Linked DNA regions of Danio rerio. The protein of the gene in region 2 purifies or fractionates together with the protein of the main gene of each other region. This does not show direct contact. Links are inferred from orthologs where the notes say so. Each region holds a gene or a part of one and is shown on either strand. Other genes may lie near its edges.

Evidence for each region.
Region 1: the proteins of map3k8 (region 2) and tnip2 purify together in Homo sapiens (affinity purification with mass spectrometry; 3 studies listed by BioGRID and IntAct, with this or other methods). This does not show direct contact. The link is inferred for Danio rerio from reciprocal best matches to the Homo sapiens genes MAP3K8 and TNIP2.

Annotation. Positions count from the first base shown.
Region 1 is NC_133176.1:40,467,427-40,477,980, reverse strand, and holds tnip2 (TNFAIP3-interacting protein 2), read left to right. Parts: upstream 1-3,681; 5' UTR 3,682-4,081; coding exon 4,082-4,402; intron 4,403-4,861; coding exon 4,862-5,155; intron 5,156-5,243; coding exon 5,244-5,333; intron 5,334-5,511; coding exon 5,512-5,790; intron 5,791-5,923; coding exon 5,924-6,040; intron 6,041-8,019; coding exon 8,020-8,265; 3' UTR 8,266-9,326; downstream 9,327-10,554. UniProt on the Homo sapiens protein: Inhibits NF-kappa-B activation by blocking the interaction of RIPK1 with its downstream effector NEMO/IKBKG.
Region 2 is NC_133187.1:25,358,920-25,369,471, forward strand, and holds the start of map3k8 (mitogen-activated protein kinase kinase kinase 8), read right to left. Parts: upstream 6,749-10,552; 5' UTR 6,722-6,748; coding exon 6,690-6,721; intron 5,755-6,689; coding exon 5,433-5,754; intron 4,918-5,432; coding exon 4,747-4,917; intron 2,494-4,746; coding exon 2,232-2,493; intron 1-2,231. Other genes in the region: mtpap (poly(A) RNA polymerase, mitochondrial), read left to right, coding at 10,351-10,504.

The DNA.
Region 1 (10,554 bases), on a different chromosome or scaffold from region 2:
TAAGATAAAAGAAATCAGTTATTAGAAATGTGTTGAAATAAATATTTCCGTAAAATGAAATTGGATTAAAAATATATATACAGTGGGCTAATAATTCAGGAGGGCTAATAATTCTAACTTCAACTTCTGACTAAATCCCAATTTTAAATCCAGAGCCACAAAAAAAAAAAAAAAAAAGTCATAGCACAAAAACTAATTCCCCTATATTTAAACTAACTTCTATCATTTGTGTTTATCCAGATTGGAAAAAGCGAGACCGCACTGACAGCCGACAACACTCAAAGCAGTAAAGAGAACATCCGTAGGGTAAGAAACATCACATCTCACCCATAATATAGAACATACGCCTTTACACAAGAATAATGGCCTTCATAATTCATTTACAGGGCTGGATCTACACCCTCAAATGGGTCCAACCAAACAACAACATTGTGCAACCAACCGGCCAGCCACATGAAAATGACATCCAGTCCACTAGTGACGCATCCCAAATAAGTGACAGCAGCGAATCAAGCGAAAGCCAGGAAAAGGTTGTCGTGAACAAGATGCAAGTGGATAACAGTGATGACACCAGTGAAAGCGCTGAACACAATGGTGCTGTTGCTACTGAATACAGCAACAGTAACAGCAGCAGCAGCAGTAGCAGCAGTGAAAGCACCGAGTCTAAAGACAGCGGCACGGATAGTGAAAGTCGCTCCACTGAGTGTGTGCCTGGCGATGACAGTCAAGATTGTGAGAGCGAGGAAAACCTTCCTCAGGATATCGGTGATGATGGAGCAACCGACCCTTTCAATGGCTTCTTAATGCCTGATGTCGCTGAGCCCTAGCGGCAGTTTAAGACATCATTTATTATGACTCGATGCTCTGATAGCTGCAAGTTGGAAATCCCAGGAGCGTAGTAAAATGGGAATGTTCTCTTAAGGAAAATGTTTATAGGAGGGTATGTAAGGAAATTTCTATAATATTAATATAAAATGGTGAATAAGCATTATTAATTATTTTAAGGTAACTTGGTCTAAATCAGTGGTTCACAGAATGTTTTTTTTTTTTTACTTTTAAATGATAATTTTAATTATGTTCTCAATCTTTAAACTTTTAATTACCAAACAGTCTTAGGATTTTAAGTGCAATGGTTTTGGCATAGAAATATAATACATTTTTTTATTGTAACTTTTAAATTATATAGAAGAAAAAATATATTAAATATAATATTAAATTAATTGCAAATTTAAATTGTGTATAATAAAATAAATAAATACATTTTTAAAGAAAAGGAAGCAAATTATTAGTATACTTTACATAAAAACTCATCATCTAAATTACGCAAACAAATTATAAAAAATAAATAAGCTTTTCTTGCATTGCACAAAATTATCAATTCTGTTTTTAAAACTTCTGTATTTAGAACTTAAAAATTGTCTAAAAGAACTGGGAACCACTGATTTACATCAACTTAGTATTAATTAATATATATATATATATATATATATATATATATATATATATATATATATATATATATATATATATATATATATATATATATATATATATATATATAGTTGAAGTTAGAATTATTAGCCCCCCACCCTGAATTTTTTGTTTTATTTCGGCTAGAATAAAAGCAGTTTTTAATTTTTAAAAACCATTTTAGGTCAAAATGTTTAGCCCCTTTAAGCTATTTTTTCCCAATAGTCAACAGAACAAACCATCATTATACAATAACTTGCCTAATTACCCTAACCTGCCTAATTAACCTAATCTAATTAAGCCTTTAAATGTCACTTTAAGCTGTAAAGAAGTGTCTTGAAAAATATCTAGTTAAAAATTATGTACTGTCATCATGGCAAAGATTTAAAAAAATCAGTTATTAAAAATTAGTAATTAAACTGTTATGTTTAGAAATGTGTGGAAAAAAATAATTTCCGTTAACAAAAAAACGGGGCTAATAATTCAGGGGGGCTAATAATTCTGACTTCAACTGTGTGTGTGTGTGTGTATGTGTGTGTGTGTATATATATATATATATATATATATATATATATATATATATATATATATATATTATTATATTATTTTTTTTATTATTGAATATCTTTGGAGCTGAAGTTGTTTGATGTATTTTTTATTATTATTTATATATTTTGTAGTCATTTATTTATATGTATTAACCATTTTCAAATAAAGTCATTAAAAATAAGCCATTGGTTGCCTTTTGTTTTTCCCAGCCGTTCTTAAATGCCAAGAAGTTGCAAACGCAAGCACTTCTACATTCCATCCTCAAATGAAAGGGTTGCCCTAATGTGATCCAAGAGTAATTACCAACTTCATTGCCTATAATTTCACAGATTTACTTCATACCTCTGCAGAAGCATGCCTAAACAATAAAAAATGTGTATACACAGCTGAAATGGCTGTTGTGTGAAAAAGCACCTTCAGCTGTGTTCTTATTGTGACAATTATATTTATATACATGTGCGTGATTGACTTATATTTATGAGTAATATATCACGTCTGTCAAATGCGTGTCAATGCTGTTTTGATACCACAAGATGGTGGCAAACTTTAAAGAACAGTTTTGGACTTTCCCTAGGCAGAACATCATGAACTCACACAAACATTACATGCTCAACGGGACTTTCTGCCGTTTCATGTGTGCTGCTTTTGGCAGAGGGATAAAGATTCTTCGCACTAAGAATGAGGGTTTAGACATTGTAAGTTTGTTAATTACTGTGTAATTAAAATGACTGTTTTATGGTTCAATCTTCAGATCACAAACTAAGCACCGTTGGCTTTCATTGTCTAGACAATTGACAAGATGTGATCCAAGATAATGGCAGGCATTATCCATTATGAAAAGAGGAATGGTATGAGATGGAATCTTTTAAGAAAGGGGAGTTTTAGGCAGTGTTATGTTATTTTCATCCAAATATTCAAAACATTTTTAAAATAATAATTAAAAATACTATTTGGTAAGATTCACATTAATCTAAATATTTTTAGATTATATTAGATTAGATTATACTAAACATTTTTAGAAATATTTTTATTAAAAATACAAAATATTTTTTATTAAAAGTTAATTTGATTTAAATAATTACACAGGCAAAAATGATGAGTAGAAATGATATATATTTAATGTATTTATTTATTATTTATTAGTCTTGAACAAGAATTATCTTTAACATTTTAGGAGGGGGTCCTATGGTGGTGGTGTCTGAAAGCCTCTGGTAAACAGACTAACAGAAAGGTAAACAGTTTCGGTTCCCAATGGAAACAAAACAATGGAGCTAAATAGGAAACAACATGTTACAGCTTTCTTTAGCTAAAGAATTCCGTTTTGTAAAAGGGTTAATCTTATTTTTGATATTGGACTACGTTATACTTTAAAGTGTGGGATATTTTTATAATAAGCTATGGTGTGAATAGACTCCTGCTTTCGATTTTGAACTTTACCTACGTTTCCATATGTAAAGATTTGTCACCTGTCCAAGTTCAACTGACTACTCCCTTCACGGATGCTACTTGAGAATACTGTGCGTGTTAAACTGCTCGTTGTACCGTGTTCGGGAGCGACGTGACAAACTTAATCGTTATAACCAAGGAAGCTAAAAGCAAACGTTTAACCACCACGCGCGTCACTGACAGTATAAAGTAGCATGCTGGTCGCGCGCAATCCTCGTCCACGCGCACCAGGCGGCGTCAAACTGAACTGTAAACTTAATCCGACACGAAGGAGCGAGTCGACTGTCTCTTAAACGTGTAAAATCACTATTAAACCGCACACGACTCGACAGTTAACTCGTTTGAAGGCAAAACAGCGCCTGTAACCCCAACTATTCTCGACGTTTTATGTGCAGTACAAAAAATATACCCAGTTTGAGATGGGGGGAAGTCCCCGTGAGGAAATCCCCTGTTCATAATTTCGAAATTGAGTGAGGCTCTCGCAGACTGAAACTGCTCTGAAACATTTTGGTCTAACATAAGTTACAGCAGACGCCTGTGAGCCCTATGACACTCAGACCTGTACAATATATGGGAAATTTGTACTATATGTGCTCGTTTTAACGGATTGCTCAGCATGGATGAGATGAAGAGGGAGAACGAGGCGCTGAGGGCGAAGTTGCGCAGCTGCTCTACTCTCAACACAATTTACCACGAAACACAGCAAGAAATTGCTCGTTTAAATCAGTTGGTGACCTCCAAAGACGGGATTATTGCCGATTTGAGGGCAAGACTGGGGAAGTATGAGAAAACCGTGGTCATTGAGGGAGAGGAACCTTATATTGTAGGGCCATCGAAGTCACTCATCGAAAGTTTGTGTAAGGAAATTTGCAAATTAAAGCAAAAACTGAAGGATTTAGAGAAAGACACTGCCCAGAAATTGGAAACCAGAGACAAAGTAAGTTAAACACAATTCTGAATTAATAATATGAAATAATTAATAACATTTTCTCTACTAATTAGAGTAAATTTGTTGTTTTTCTTGTCAGTATACTTTTCCAATGACTGTAAAAGAACTGTAAAGTATCCTCTCTATAAAATACTCCAATTCCTAACTCAAGAAATTGTAATGAAATTAATGTTATATCACAAAAACAAAACATGTAAACCAGCTTACAATGTGTTGCTGGTCTTAGCTGGTTTATGGTGGTCTTCAAGTCAGCTAACATTAAGTGCCTTTGAAAAACTGACCAGAAAACTTAAGTTTAAGCTTTGTTTTTCTTGCTTGTTTGTACTGTTAGTCCGGCTTTTTATGTACAACTTTGTTCATGAATACAGAATATGCTTTAGTTTTGATGAAACAAGTGCATTTCGTGTTCACCTTCTCATTTGTGAATCTCCCGACTGCTTGTTTAAGGAGATCCAGAGATTGCAGGAAAAGTTGAAGGAGAGGGATCAAGAGTTGCTGACCATCAGGGAAAGACCAGAGCAGGAGAAAGAGAGGGAGATCCAGCAACTGCGCACCACATTGGCCGAAAGAGATCGGACACAGGCCACCAGGACTGTACTTTGCAACTCTCTTGCTGAAGAAGCCGATCAGTTAAGGGCCCAGTTGGGGGCCACTGTGCAGGTGTGTCAGGAGCTTTTGGGACGGCTGGAAAACGAGAAAAACAAAACAGCCATGACGGATCAGAGAACTCAAGTTCATGAGGTGCGTTGTGGAAACTGTCAGTCTGCAACATTTAAGGCACCTTTAAAACAGCTGCCTAATGATTATATTTGACCTTATATTTTATCAGACATCAGATTCCCCCGAAGTTCCCCAGCTAAATGTCATCATTAGCAAGTTAGAAGAGGAGAACGACCAGCTCAAGAAGAGAGTGGCATATGTAAGGATCACATGATGGAACTGTTGTTTGATCATCACCCTCTGACATTTGTTTTACCTGTGTCATATGCTGAAAATGTCATACTGTAACTGTTACGGAAAGAATCAACAGTGTAAAAAAATTCTTGGAAAATGTCATGTAATTTTTTCACATCACAACTTGTTTTGTTCCATTTCAGGTGGAAAGTTTAAACTCAAAATGGCAGAAGTATGACTCGAGTAGAGAAGAGTACGTGAGGGGTTTGTGTCAGAAGTTGAAAGAGTCAAATGGACTGGCTTCCGCAGATCCGACTCTAACCCAAGCCCCGACTGCGGGACACGTGGCTTTGTTCCAGCAGGAAATTGTGAGACTCAACGGCCTCCTGCAGGACAAGATGATGGAGTGTGAGAGATTCAGTAGAGAGAGGGATGACAATGCGAGAAGAGACCAAGAGCAGATACAGATGCTCGAGCAGCAGGTCTGTATCCGTTCAGTGTGTACAATCCTATTAAATAGGAAGTCGTTGTATTTTTGTCATAACAAAGGTGAGAAGTAGTTTTGTTGTTTGGCTTGCTGCCCATAACACAAATGGCTTACTTGTACACTCACAGGTTCTGGCCTATGTTGAAGACTTTAAATCGGAAAGGGCAGACCGAGAGAGGGCTCAGGGTAAAATCATGGACCTTCAAGATGAAGTTGGGCGACTTCAGCTGCAAATACGTTCACAGGCAAGTCTAATTATTAATTATTCATCAAGGTATTTAAAAATAATTTTAAAATATGCATTGTATCATTTAAAGTCCCAATAAAATCATTTGTAGCATTCTGATTTAGCGTTACAAAATAAATAAATGGACATAAGCATTTATAAGTTGTATTTGAACAAACACGACAGGGTTTTTTCTGGCACAAAATAAGCCGAAGATGGAAGATGAAATGTTTGCTACTTGAAACAAGCACATTTTGCATTCTTTTTAGTAACCCACTCAAGTTAAACATGTTCATATTTAAAAAGGCAGATATTATATGCAACTAAATAAATGACCAATGCTTGAGCATCACTTGGGGTCTGTTGGTTGCCGTGACTGCATGCCTGATTGGTCAAAAGCTGGAGGTGGTGCAAAAAATTATGGAGGTGGCCACCTCACAATTCTCTTTGCAGGAAAAACCCTGCATGCCATTTTACACAAACAATAATGATCAATTAAGTGTTTACCAAAGACAATAAAATGTCAGCGTAATCCCAAATAATTTTATTAAAAAAATAAAAATAAATCAATCAAATTAAAACTATTTAATTTGTCATTTTAACATATTGTCTGAATCTTTGCTGCTATCCCTTAAACCACTAGGTTTCGCCCATTTGACAAGTTTTCAATTAGTGAATTTAGTAAGAATTTAAATTATCTTCTTATTTTTTTAAAAGAACACACTTCTGCTCACCAAACCTGCATTTATTTGTTCAAAAGTACAGCAAAATCAGTCAAAACATGACTTTCATTAATAATTTTAATATTTAATCACAGTTTAATGATGATATTCATAATTAATTGATGAAGAGAACGTCAAACAAAATCAATCATTTTACCTAAATTCAAAAGCTTTTGACATCATACACATTATACTACTTAAAAGCAGTGACAGTCAGTATTTTTTTATTTGTTACCTTTACTTAGCAAGGATACTTTATATTAAAATTTAAAAGTATGTTTCTTTATTTAACCGGATAAAAACCCATTGAGATTAAAATCTTAGGTCCACAACACGACTTATGAATAAAAAATAATAATAACAACAACAATAATAGTAATAATAATAAATAGAAAGTTAAGATAATATAAAAATTACAGTTTAGTTGTTCAGCTATACCACATTACAATATGTTAAAAACACATACACTGAGAAATGGACTGTTGTTTGTCAAAAAGGATAGAACGAAAACATTTGATTGGAATGAGCTCAGATATTAAAAGTATTTAATAGTTATGATTATTAAAAATAATGATAAAGGCATTTATAATGTCACGGTAGATTTCTATTTCAGATAAATGCTTCTAAAGACAAGATTAAAATATTCTGCTCAGCAGTTTTTAACATGCTAAAAATTCAGCTTTGAAATCAGTAAAAAAAAAAGAAAGTGTACAATATATTTAAAGAGAAAACTGCTTTTTTAAATAGTAAAAATAATTCACAGTTTTATAGTTTTGCTGCATTTTGGATCAAATAAATGCAGGCTTTGTGAGCAGAAAAGACTTTAAAAAAACAAACAAAAAAAAACATTTAAAATCATTCCGTCTTAAAACTTTTGACTGGTAGTGTACAGTTTGTTGATAAAACCCATTATTTGACCTTTTGAAAATGGTAAAACACTGAAGTCAACACCAGAATTTTACTTGACATTTCATATGCTTTCACACACACGCACGCAAGCTGCGTTCTCTTACCGTTTTACAAAACTTAACTCAGAATATTGAATTAAACATCCTTCCAAGTCATTCTGCTCTAAATCCTTTGACTGGCAGTGTACACAATGTTAATAGAACCTATTATTTGACTTTTAAAAGATAACACAATGAAGTAAACACCAGCATTGTACTTGACATTTCATATGCTTTCACACACGCACACTGCGTTCTCTGTCCTGTTTACAAAACTTAACTCAAAATGTTCAATTAAACATCCTTCTAACAGTCACTCTCTCACACAGAATGTCCAAGAAGCCTCAACCTCACGCCATAAAAAAATCATGGCCCTAAAAAAAGCTAGCCACCGACAAACGGAAACGGCAGAACCACTAAGAAACAGTCCCCCAGAAACAAGCTCAAAGAGGACTATCAGTAACACTGCGCCACAAGGAGCCGCCGAGCTGCAATGCCCTCGGTGTTTCATCAGGTTCGACGACGAGCACACGACCGAATACCTTAAACACTGGGACGAGTGTGCCAAGCTGTGAGTCTCTCACCTCACTGACTTTACACAGAAAGCACTGAGGACACAATCACTACAAGCTCACATGGGACTTAATGGGAGATGCGACAAGACAGGGACACGTTTTATGGGATGGAGTCGTAGGAAGAGCTTTTTCTAGTGAGTTTTTGGCTTTTCGAGGTCGTTTGCGGCCTAGGACTCAAGATATGAGTTGGTTGTGTCCAATCTAAAGGCTTACTCACTTCGCTGTCGTTGAATGCAGATGGTTTGGTTATGAAAAGTTATTCAGTCTTGGGCATCTGCGGTTGTCACATAAGGGTTTTGCCAGTTCTTTGGTGTCATGGTTTACAGCATGGTACGTTTAGAGTTCCGAATCAAACTATGCTAAAGGCCAAATTGCAGATCTGTGTGTGTATACCTCACCTATTTGTAGTCTCTATCAGCTGGTTTGCACTTTTTTTTTTGTACTATTTTAATTATTGTCTACACAATTTATTATATTTAATTCATTAGTTCCTTTATTATTAGATTTTGAATATAGTTCATGTTGTTTTGTCATGGTGCTATTTGTACAGTATTTTGTAATATTTCCATTTGTAGTTATGCTGTTATATATCTTTAAATCAGATCATTTAAATTATACCAAAGGAAACAGCATCACAATGCACACTATTAATAATCTTTAGATTTGTTTTGCGATTATTATTCATTTAAATAACATCCAACTTTTTTATTTTAAATGTTATATGGCTTCATCATATAACGTGTTATTACTTTCTCAGACATTAAGGCACCTTTTTGACTGTGAGGTACTTGCCATTTGATCCCCCCTCTGTAGTTGAAAACATTCTAGTTTTAAGTAAGAGAGGAAGTTCCCTACATCCTGGTAAACTGAGACATCAAATGTTCACATCTCAGATGCTGCGTCTGACAAAATGGCCTTCTACTACAGCACGTTTGAACACTTCTGCAGAAATTTAAAAGAATTTATCTAAAAACAAAATTGAGTAATAACAGTGATGCCAAAGGAAGACTTTAAGATGTTGAGAGGATTTATTTTTGTAATAAAAGACATGCTTAAAAGACTTTCTTTTAAAAACCATGTGTAATTTTATTTGTGTGTTTGTGCGGTCATAGTTAATTATTAGCAAGATATATGAAACCAGACAGTTGCGATAATGCTGGAAAGATCATGGGGTGTGTCATAAAGCATTAAACTCAAGTCGCATGGGATTTTTGTAAGTGTGTGTGTATGCGCACAAGAGCTGGAAAGCCCCTACCCGAGCACATCTGAATGGACAGCTATAACTGCAGTGAATTCTCAGCTGTCCTGAGGCCTGGAAGTGAATAGCAGAAGCAGGCGACTGTGGGGTAGAGGAATATAGCAGGACTGGCTATTTAAAGGGGAGAAGGCTGTAAAGCCAAACAAGACTAGTGTCTACTTTCTGAGATGCAAAAACGATTATCAAATGCTATTTGTGTTATTAATTACTCCCCTTCATGTTGTTACTAAACACAAATTAAGATATTTTAGATGAAATCCAGGAGCTCTCTGACTCTCCATAGACGGCAAGGGTCATGAGACGTTCAAAGTCCATAAAAGGAACTGAAAACACTGTCAAAACATTCCATGTGGCTTCAGTTGTTCAAATAATCATACAAAGTGATTGCTGTGTGTTTATTATAGGCAATACAACATGTTTATATACAGTTGAAGTCAGAATTATTAGCCCCCTTTGAATTTTCTTTCTTTCTTTTTTTAAATATTTCCCAAATTATGTTTAACAGAGGAATGATTTTTTTTTTGTCTGATAGTATTTTTTCTTCTGGAGAAAGTCTTATTGGTTTTATTTCAGCTAGAATAAAAGCAGCTTTAAATTTCTTAAAAAAACATTTTAAGGTCAAAATTATTAGCCCCTTTTAAGCTATATTTCTTCGATAGTCTACAGAACAAACCATTGTTATACAATAACTTGCCTAATTACCCTAACCGGCCTAGTTAACCTATTTAACCCAGTTAAGCCTTTAAATGTCACTTTAAGCTGAATAAATTTGTCTTGAAAAATATTTAGTCAAATATTATGTACTGTCATTATGACAAAGATAAAATAAGTAGTTAAAAATTTGTTTTTAAAACTAATGTTTATAAACGTGTTCTTCTCTCTGTTAAACAGAAATTAGGCAAAAAAAAAAACGGGGTTAATAATTCAAGGGGTCAAACATTCTGACTTCAACTGTATAACAAAGTCAAAACATCATATTGCCTGTATTAAATATGCAGCTAAAGCGAGGATCACAGACAAACAAAAATGTT
Region 2 (10,552 bases):
TTAGCTTTGATTCTAGTGTGATTCATCATAACATTGTTGTTTTCCATCAATAATTTCATTCATTTTTGTTCAAGACTTGTACTGATAATGAAAAAAATGTCCAACTCTGACCCTGAGGCATCCATTATTTCTCTTTTTTTCTTCTGTGATTTTTTTGTGCAGAGCTTCTTTGTTACTTGTGATTTGAAGAAATTTAGTCACAGCACCAAACTTATCTGGAGAGCATGGTAATTTACATTTGATACATTATCTCTCCCACCTAATTTTAAGACTTTATTGTAGTTTAGGTCAAATGGTTGTGAATTCATGTGTGAAAATGAAGCATACTTTTTGACTTGAGTTGCATAGATCTTTGCATTGCCTGTAGTTGCTTTGATACAGTTAATTTTCAGCCAGTCACATTTTTCAAACATGAACAGCTGTATTGCAAGGCACTCACTCAACTCATGCAGAGCTAAACCATACAGGGTTTTGTAATTAATTATCAACATTTGAAAACTAATACAATATTTAATAGGGAGAAAGTTGGTCAGGGCTAATTGCCATTTTTTGAGGATTTGAAAGGTTTGAGACCTTAAAGAAAATCGTCTCCATGACAAACATGTTTTGTTTAGTTTAGTTTACAGTAGTTTAGTTTAAACTTTATTGTCCATCCTGCTTGGCACAGAAAGGAAATTTGTCTTTAACACTTGATTTAAGACAACAACTGCATACATACAACCATACAGCAATCACACAATAGTAAACACTTATCAACAGTTAAAAACATAAAAGCCAAATTAGCCCCATACACATTACTGAAGATCATTCTTGACAACTTCAAACAGTGATCCGATTTAAGACTACAACTGCAATTGGGATAAATTACTTTTTAAAAGCATTTTTTCAGGCTTTAGAAATTCTAAACCTGCATCCTGATTTTAACACTTCAAAGCTGAGTGAAGGAGTTGTGTATTGTATTTAATGTCAATAGAATTTGCAACAAATATCTGCATACTTTTCAGTTCTAGAAAGCACTGAGGATGCTGCATTTTGAATCAGCTGTAGTTTGCTTATTAGGTCTGCAGGGCACCTGGCAACACACTTTTTATTTTATTTTATGCAGTATAATTTAAATATTATGTTTTAATTAACTCTTTGTCACCAGTTAATAATTTGAGTGTGATATTTGATAGCAATTTGTCATCTGATGTGGCCTACAGATGACAAATTGCTATCAAATATCACATCCAAGTTCTTGACCAATGACGAAGACTTAATTCAACATCTTTTAAGGGTTAGAGAGGTTTTTCTTTTTTATTTGTCTGAGTAAAACCTGTGCTTTAATAAATATATTTCTAAAGAAATTTACTAGTCATCCAATTCCTAATATCAATTATACGTTTTGTAAACTTTTGTGTTTCATCGGGCTTTGAGGAGTTAAAGAGTTACCAGCAGTATATAACAGTGAATACAAGAACTAAGCTTTAGTTTTTCAGAAGCAAAACAAATCAGCAAAACCCCCTTTTCTTGCTCTCCCCCTATACTTCACCCAACAAAAAAAAAACTGTTTCCTCTCCAACCCAAATGTCAAGAAGCCAGTCCTCAAAACCACAAAAGCAGGCTACAGCCTAGAGCATACTCTGATTGGTCAGTCATTTTCACTGAAATTCTCTCTCTTGTCATTTTACTCTCTCAGTCTAACTGTTGTTGAAGTTGAAATAGAAATGGCCTGTTGAATAAGCCCCTGAAAGTAATACATTTGATTTGAGTAATCACTTGCTCTCCTGACTGGAAATTCCAGATGCCAGAAGTCATAAGCTGTACACCGATTGGCCCCTGTGTATGACTAAATCCTAGCAGAATGTTGTCAACTACACCCCTGCTGCATTAAATTATGTTGTGTTCCTCCTCTTTGAAGGTCATGAACTAAAACTACTTCTGTAGCCTGTGGTCAATTCTCTTGTCAGTTACTTTTTAGTTCTGTCAAATAAGCAGAATACCTTCCTTGACCACAGCCAACATCAGATTCACATACAGTGCACCTTTTGTTGCATTCAAAGGGGAAATAACAAGTACCGGTGGTTGCAAGAAAAAAAGTACTGAACTGCTTTGACCCCGCTTTGAAATTTGTTTTGAAGCATTCCACTTCAGAGCAGCTGTGGTGTGAGAGTAATAAACAATGTACTTGGTAGGAAACTGCAGTGATATTTCAGAAAAAAGCCCTTAATGATGCAAGCCAGAGCTCTTACGTTTGATGTCGTGGTGGATAATGTTGTGAGAGTGCAAGTACTCCAAGCCTCGCAGAACCTGCTGAGAGACCCAAATGATCTCGAACTCTCTCATTGGACCACAGCTCTCCAGCTTCTCTAACACCGAGCCTCCTTCGCCAGCTTCCATGAACAAATGCACCGTCTGCTCCCACAGCAAGGCCCCATATAGCTCTGCTATGTTCTCGTGCCGGAACCGGGCTTGGATTTCAACATCTGCAGGCTTGAAATGCTCCACAGGAATCTGGAGAGAAAGTACACTTAATTTCTAAGATTCATATTTTATGAAAGTACACTAAAAAATGAGCAAGCTTATAATTTTTTTCTACATAAAAATACATGCTATTTAAGCATTCATATATGAAAGTAAACCAAAACTGCTGTATATTTCCAGCCTATGTATGATTCACACAATTCCTAAAATTAAGCAAGTACAATGATTGCACTTTCACACCAATCAAGCTTTAATTAATTATAGTTAATGCATATAGTTATTGTCATATTGTGAGGTTTTGCCACATTTCCCTATAGTCTTGCAGTCAAAAACAAATATACAAGCAAAACATAATAAAACTGCAAATTGCAGACTCGCTATGTAAAGATTAATAGAACTGATATATCATCAGGATAATTATATAAATGTCTGTTTTGGCTGTTTTTTTACTGTGCTCATGCCTGCTTGACCAAATGATTACTGGTGGATCCAAAACCTACCAACATCTGTTAATGGATAGTGCACATTTTCTGTAATTGTAATTTCCAAGTGATTTCAAATTATGTGTAAAGAATTTGTTGAATGAATGTCTTTTTTTTTGTCCTAAATAGACCTGAAGTTAATTTATTATTTATGCATTTATGAGAAACGGATTCATAGTGGCTTTCCGGAATGAATCAATACTTTTGAATGAATCTGAGCAGCATTTTTGCTTGCGTGATATTTCTTATTTATACTCCTAATTATTACAACAACTAATTATTTAACCCTTTTAAAGTTACATCAAGGGAACATTTACATGATATTGATGTAATAAAAAAATGTTTTTGCTTTGCCATAAAAAATGTGTCAAACCATAACAATTCCACAAGAAACAAAATAATCCTACTAATGAATAAATATAATGTAATATGCATGCCAGACCACTAGTTGTCAAAGTGTTTTTATAAATACTGCAGGCATGGACAAATACAATCTCGTTGCCCACCTTTTTACTTTGACAATCAAGTCCTTGTGCATTCCTATGGACTGAACACATAAAACAGAGATGCCCAAACTCGGTCCTAAAGGGCTGGTGTTGTGCAAAGTTAACTTCCAACCCCAATCAGACACACCTAGGCTAGCTAATCAAGCTCTTATTAGGCTTTCTAGAAACATTCGTGCAGGTGTGTTGAGGCAAGTTGGAGCTAAAATCTGCAGGACACCAGCTCTCCAGGACCGTGTTTGGACACCCTTGACATAATGCATCAGTGCATGATGACATCAATTTCACAAAATCACAATTTTTGTCATTAACACAAGGTTAATGTTCAAAGTTTGAAAAATACTTTGCTAAAGTCACCTAAAATATTGAAAGGTAAAATTCTTATTCTGCATATTTTGACTATTCTGAAAGATTGCAGGTATTATAAAGGATTTATTTGTTTAAATGTATGTGCCCTCATATCATTTCATCAAAACAACTTCCTTTTTGCAATAAAATATTTCCTTTCATCACATGCTTCTTGGCACAAGAGAGGGACAACCTGTCTGTCATATGTTCCACCAAATCACATGTTCCACCAAAGCAGACAATTCCTTGTAGACTAAATAATGTTTATCCATCCAGTTCTTACATGGCAAGCTGTTTAATTCACACGTCTAAAAGAGGACTGCAACTGTTAAACTTGACCACAAGATCAAATTTTCATCTGCACTCTGCCACTAATTTAAGACGCCTTTGTAGGCTGCATGTTTCCACAGGGGGCGTTTCTGTCCACTTCCTGTGTGCGTTAGTGCCATTCTCAGTTTCTGTTAAAACACTGCGTGCTGCATACTGACCCTTTGAACATTTTAGGGAAATTGTGTTGTTTCCCAAAAGTGCTGTTCCTCATTTTTAAACACTTTTTCACTGCTGCTACAGTTTCTGTAAAACCTGTTTCGCTTTTCAGAACGATTTTTCACTAGGCTGTAGTTAATAAAGCCATGTGTCATCACATGCTGAATCATAAGTTCATCACAACATCATTCAGTATCATGTGTCTTTTCCTTGATTTATCTTCATGTGACAACTGCTGATGATGATGAATGAACTCTATGCTTAATTCTTATTAGAGTACTTTCAAAGTATTTAAAAAAAATATTTTGAACCTTACTGATAATAGAATGCGGATTCCCAGTAGGAAAGCTATGTCCATAAAAACCTCCTAGTTGAGTGAAAACATCTACCTTTGCCAAAGCAAAAAAAAAGTAAAACCCTGTAAAGATTCCGGAAACAAACATACTTTGCATTCCCTTACTTACTAATTTGCATGCCATTCGCTTCCGAGTTTTGGTGTCCTGAGCCAGATGGACCTTCCCAAATGAGCCTTTGGGAACGTGTCCAGGGCCCTGAGGCTTGTAGGTCAGTTTCCACGGAAAGAGAAGGACGTCCAAGTCGATGCGATAATGCCCCTCTTTAATGATCATGTCTGTCTGTAGGGACAAAGCAGGGTGTTTATGACACCAAAGGCTATCTTGCTAAACAAGTATAAACACTCCTTTACACGGGATTATGTAACTCCCAAAGCAGGTCACAAAACTAGAATATGTAAATAACTTTTACTCTTCAAATCGCACTACAAAAAAATAATGCTCTTCCTATCTTTGTCTTGTTTTCCTGTACAAATGTCAAATAAAGATTTACTTGAAATGCAAAATTACATATTATTCAGTGCCAGTGATTAGAAGTAAGTTTGATAAAAATGGGATCTTGTTTATAGAATAAGCTCATTTTTTTCTCAGTATAATTCAGTATGATGTATAGATATTTGTATTGAAAATAAAGACTGTGAAGGATTGACTATATATTTGATGTTTTTCAATGCATGCAATATTTACTCTCATGATCATACAAATTTAAGTCTTTATGCTTTAATTTAAGAAGCTGGTGGAAAGGCCTCAGAAACCCTTCAAATATTGATGTAAGTTTTAGAACCAATGAAGCTTACCTTGTTCACCAGAACACCCATTTCTCTACCAACATCTAAAAGAGAGGAGGATGGTGTGTTTGAGACCATATTCACAAAGTCCAGGAGGTCAGATGTTGTCCCATAACGGACCTTTCCAGTCTTTTGTACATGTTTAATTAGGTCATGTGCCGTTTCCTCATTCTCGTCCATCTCTTCTTGCGAGAAACCTTCCTCAAACGAAATACCAGATTCCACCACCTCACCAACACTGTAGAAATGTTCTGCCTCTTGAATGAAGTCCTCAATTTTTATGTGTGCAAGAAGCAGTTCTATACAAGAATTTCCATTGTCATACTCCATCCTTGATTGAATAATAAAACAAAATGTTTGATCATTAGAAACATCAACACATTGAAATGAATGCATTCATCCATGTTGTTTTTGCACCCATATGTATGTTTGCTGTGTGGTCAGGTATGTTTCCTGAACAGCTTGCCTGCTCTATTTTGCATGCAAGTGAGAGGTGGCTTAAAACATCTTTAAAATGAATGACAAATGGAACTTTTTCATTGTATTAACTCTCTTTTTTCTCCTCAAGAACAAACAAACAAGAACAAAATATAACAGCATTTTTGAGGTCAAAAATGACCAATTATGAGGGACATGCTAGCAGTAAAAATGACTAGCCCAAGATGATTTATCAGAATGGCTGAATCATAATAAATGCAATCACTTTTTTATGTTTTATCATTTTTGACCTATTACATGTGCTGTTTCTAAATTGATATGGTGTGATCGGGTGACTGATATACACACAAAAAACAGAACTTTCCAAAGCATTGCAGAAATACAACCCTATACACTGCTGCCAAATTTACTTCTTGTTTCCTTTAGAAACTGGGGTACTTTTACCCTATTGCTGTGCATTTGAATCTTACACAATGAAGAACATCCTAACACCCAAGAGTGTGACTCGGACACTTTGGGGATAGTTTTGAATAGCAGTTGGATGAGTTTTTAACATGCAGATTTGGCAACCATCGCTGAATATCCATTTTTGGTTTATGTTAAATAATGAATTTTTAATAATAAAGGCTGTTCATTACTGATGAAAAGAACCGGTGCTCAAAAAGAGTAACTAGAAAGGGTGCTGACAAGCATATGCCAAAAGCCCTATTAAATAATCCACAGTATTTAGCCTACTCTGAACGTTGTTCGAAATAGTATAGGCTAATGAAGCATAAAAATAACTAAACAAAATAAATGATATCTATAAAACACCAGCAGTTTGCCTACCTTTCAGTCAGTGTGTTCACAGCAGGGCGCATACTCAGTGATTGTCCATAGTTCCCTCTGAAGCTTTTTCAGACGTGTGCTCGCTGATAAGAGGAATCAGCGAGCTGCGCGCCTCCGCTGTGCGCTTACGTCACTGCGGTTTCGTTTTCTCTTTTCTCTGAGAGGTGTTTTCTCGTCTTCTCATCGAGATCACGTATCTGCTGCTTGGATTTTGCCACAGTCCCCTATCAGAATGTTCCGTAGAAGGAGGATGTCATTCGCTTTCATCTTTATGATTAATTTGCGCCAAAGGAAAAGTTGCCTTGTTGAAACCATCTTGTAGTAAACAGAAGCTAACTAGTTTTGGTCTATATACGAAATGAGTGAAGTCCGCTGACCCAGCAAAAAATGTGTCCTTTTGTTGTTTTCGCTCATTAAGAGATTTCAAAACTTCTAAACTTGTTGAAAGTGTCAGGGAATCCAGATAACGAATAGTGACAAGATTGTCTTAAGTGTATCAAAATATCTAAACGCTGTTTTCAAATTGGGGGATATCCAGGCTGCAGATTGACAGTTCAGTTTTTCCCCGAAAGTAAACGGCGCCTTAGTGTAGTAGGCTATGGAATGCCAAAGCTGCCATAATAATACATTTGGTTAATAAGCAGTAGCTGGCTTTAGTGATTTGGGGGGCCCTAGTAATGAAGCTCTAAGCTTTTTTTTCTCTTTATAGATATTGTTTTATTTATTTATTTATTTTTTTGTAAATAAAATCTGCATGTTAAAAATATTTATATTGCACTGCATTCTTTATCTTCTTAATGTTAAATGAAATACAATAAATTTGCAAATAAATAACAAGTAATTTATTAGAACAAAGTATGTACAGTTAATTAGCCATATTTGTGTTTTTAAAATTTGCATGTGCAGTAAGAAAGGAATATTCCATTGTTCATGAGGTCCCCTGGTTTGGAAAAAAAGTAATAATGTTAAAATCTTAAAGGTTATAAGCAGATTTTACAGCATATAAAAGAGAATTTATTAAAAGAGATATGATTAATATGCATCCTGACATAGGTTGGGGCCCCTAATTCGCTGGGGCCATAAGCGGCTGCTTTACCTAGTATATTAGTTAAGTTCAAATCAATTTTCAATTCATTTTTATTTGTATAGCGCTTTTACAATATAGATTTTGTCAAAGCAGCTTCACATAGAAGATTATAGTAGATTGAAACAGTGTAGTTCAGATTTTAAAGTTTAAATTCAGTTTAGTTTAGCTAAGTCCAGTGTGGTTTAATAATCACTATTGAGAGTTCAAACAATGAAGAGTAAATCCATTGATGCGCAGCCCTACATATCCCGAACCATGCAAGCTAGTGGCAACAGAGGCGAGGAAAAAACTTCACCATACCGCTAAGTGATGCATTGTGTGTGCTTTACTAAACAGATAGGTCTTGAATCTAGTTTTGAACTGCGAGAGTGTGCCTGAGCCTCGTACCTTATCAGGAAGGATATTCCAGAGTTTAGGAGCCATAAATGAGAAGGCTCGACCCCCTTTACTCGACTTTGCTATTCTAGGTATTACCAGAAGCCCTGAGTTTAAAGATCTTAAAGAGTGGGTTGGATTGTAGCGAGACAGAAGGTTGATTAGATAGACAGGAGCTAGATTATTTAAAGCTTTATAGGTAAGAAGCAATATTTTAAATTCAATACGAAACTTAACAGGTAGCCAGTGTAAGGAGGATACAGTTGGGGTGATATGATCATATTTTCTATACCTGGTAAGAACTCTGGCAGCTGCATTTTGTACTAGCTGAAGTTTATTAATAGAGGATGATGGGCAGCCAGCAAACAAAGCATTACAGTAATCCAGCCTTAAAGTCATAAAAAGCATTGTCTAGCTTTTCTGCATCTGAGATGGATAGCATACTTCATAACTTAGCGAGATATCTTAGATGAAAGAAAGCAGTTTTTGTGACATGGGATATATGATTTTCAAAAGTTAAATTGCTGTCTAATATGACACCCAGATCTTTTATAGTAGAGCTAATGCTAACTTTGTATCCCTCCAATTGTACGTCGAGTTGTGAGATCTGCTGTGTACAGGATTTAGGCCCAGTAAGTAATAATTCTGTTTTGTCTGAGTTTAAGAGAAGAAAATGGTTTGTCATCCATTCTTTAACATCTTTACAGTTTTTTTTTTTTTTTTTTTTTTACGATGGCTATGACAGTTTTTTTCAATACATTTAATAAGTTTGCTAAACTCTTAACACAGCAACACACCTAAAACACACAATTGGCAAAACAGTAAATTTCATGCTCAAAATCACACATTGTAAACTAAACCTCTAAACTACTTTTTAAAATACAATAATAAACTAACACACCACACCATGTCTAACAAAACACTGTAAACATGTTTCAAAATAAAATAATGATTCAAAACACTAACACGTTCTCTTCCGATAGAAACATTTAGTCATTCATAACACATTGATAATAAAAACACTATCATCAGCTGACATTACAGAAACTGCAATGTTTGATGTGTCAGGTCTGCCCTTTACTTGAAGCCTCTCTACATTTTTGTGTTGTTGAGTTTAGTACAGTAAATGCATGCATTTTGTTATACTGCAGAAAATCATAACTAAAAATGAACGACCATCCCAGAGTAGCTTTAAAAAATTTACAGTTTACTGTATGTAAAAAAATAATACAGACACAGAATTGATGCAGTACAGACTTTATTTGCAAAAGGACATTACTGCAAGATGTACAAACAGAAAAAAACACCACAATAATAATAAAAAAAGTAAAGTAACTTTCTATTCTGACTAGTCTTCTGCATTTTCCCGACTTCTTCTCTGGCCCGGTATGGTAACGGTGGCCCTTTGGCCTATTATGTTTCTCCTATGGCGATGCCTTCTCGCCAAGTTAAAGCCAGCCTCGTCAACATAGATAATTGCATGTGGAACTTGATTGACCTCCAACTCCATGACTCTCTAGAAGTAATTAGACACAGTGTAATGCTTTACTGTACTGTATAATTATGTATTGAACGCCAGGTTTATTGAGTAGTTTACTGCAAAACACACTGTGTATAGTAAAGTAATCACTGTATTGCATAACCTTACCTCGACGTATTGGTGACGAAGTTCTGTAATGTGCTTACTGTTTCTTTCAAAAACCTCATGAGTCCACTTTTAGAACATACAGTATGATCATGTGATTTGAAAAACCTCAACATATGAGTGTGCTTCCTATATGGGAATCTGCTGTGATATGTATGTGATATACTGTTTACTTTGGCTTTAGCCTATATAAGTTTTGTTTAGAACATGGTGTTATCTGTTCTGACATACTGTGTTAAAGCATTTGTAAATTTAACTGTAAAATGACATTGTTTTGCTCTTGGTTGTGCTTGTGTGTAAAATAAGTTCAAGCATTTTAAATTTGTGTTAACTGGATGCATTTTGTGTCAAAGCAAAATGTGTTAATTGTATAGCCCACTAAGACGGATGTTGTGCTAACCGTGTTAAAAGTTTAGGAAACTTGTTAAATGTATTGAAAAAAGTGTCATAGCCATTGTAAAAACCTGAAATTCAGTTTTGGCGTTCGACACGGTATGTCCAATCGCAGCCACCGTAGAGCCAACTTCTGCGCTTGCGCCCGTCTCAAATCAACAATGGCGGCCTCCCTCGGCGTGTGTAGGTTACATTTTAGAAGTTTAGGAGGTCTTGATAGATTTTGTCTCGGATTGGAACCTCAAACGCAAAGAAGATGTACGTCAACTATACCAGCAATCAAAACCCCGACCGGGAGCAAGACCGCAGACTTCGGTAACATTTTTATTCTTGTATATCTGTAAGCATGGCATTTACTAACTG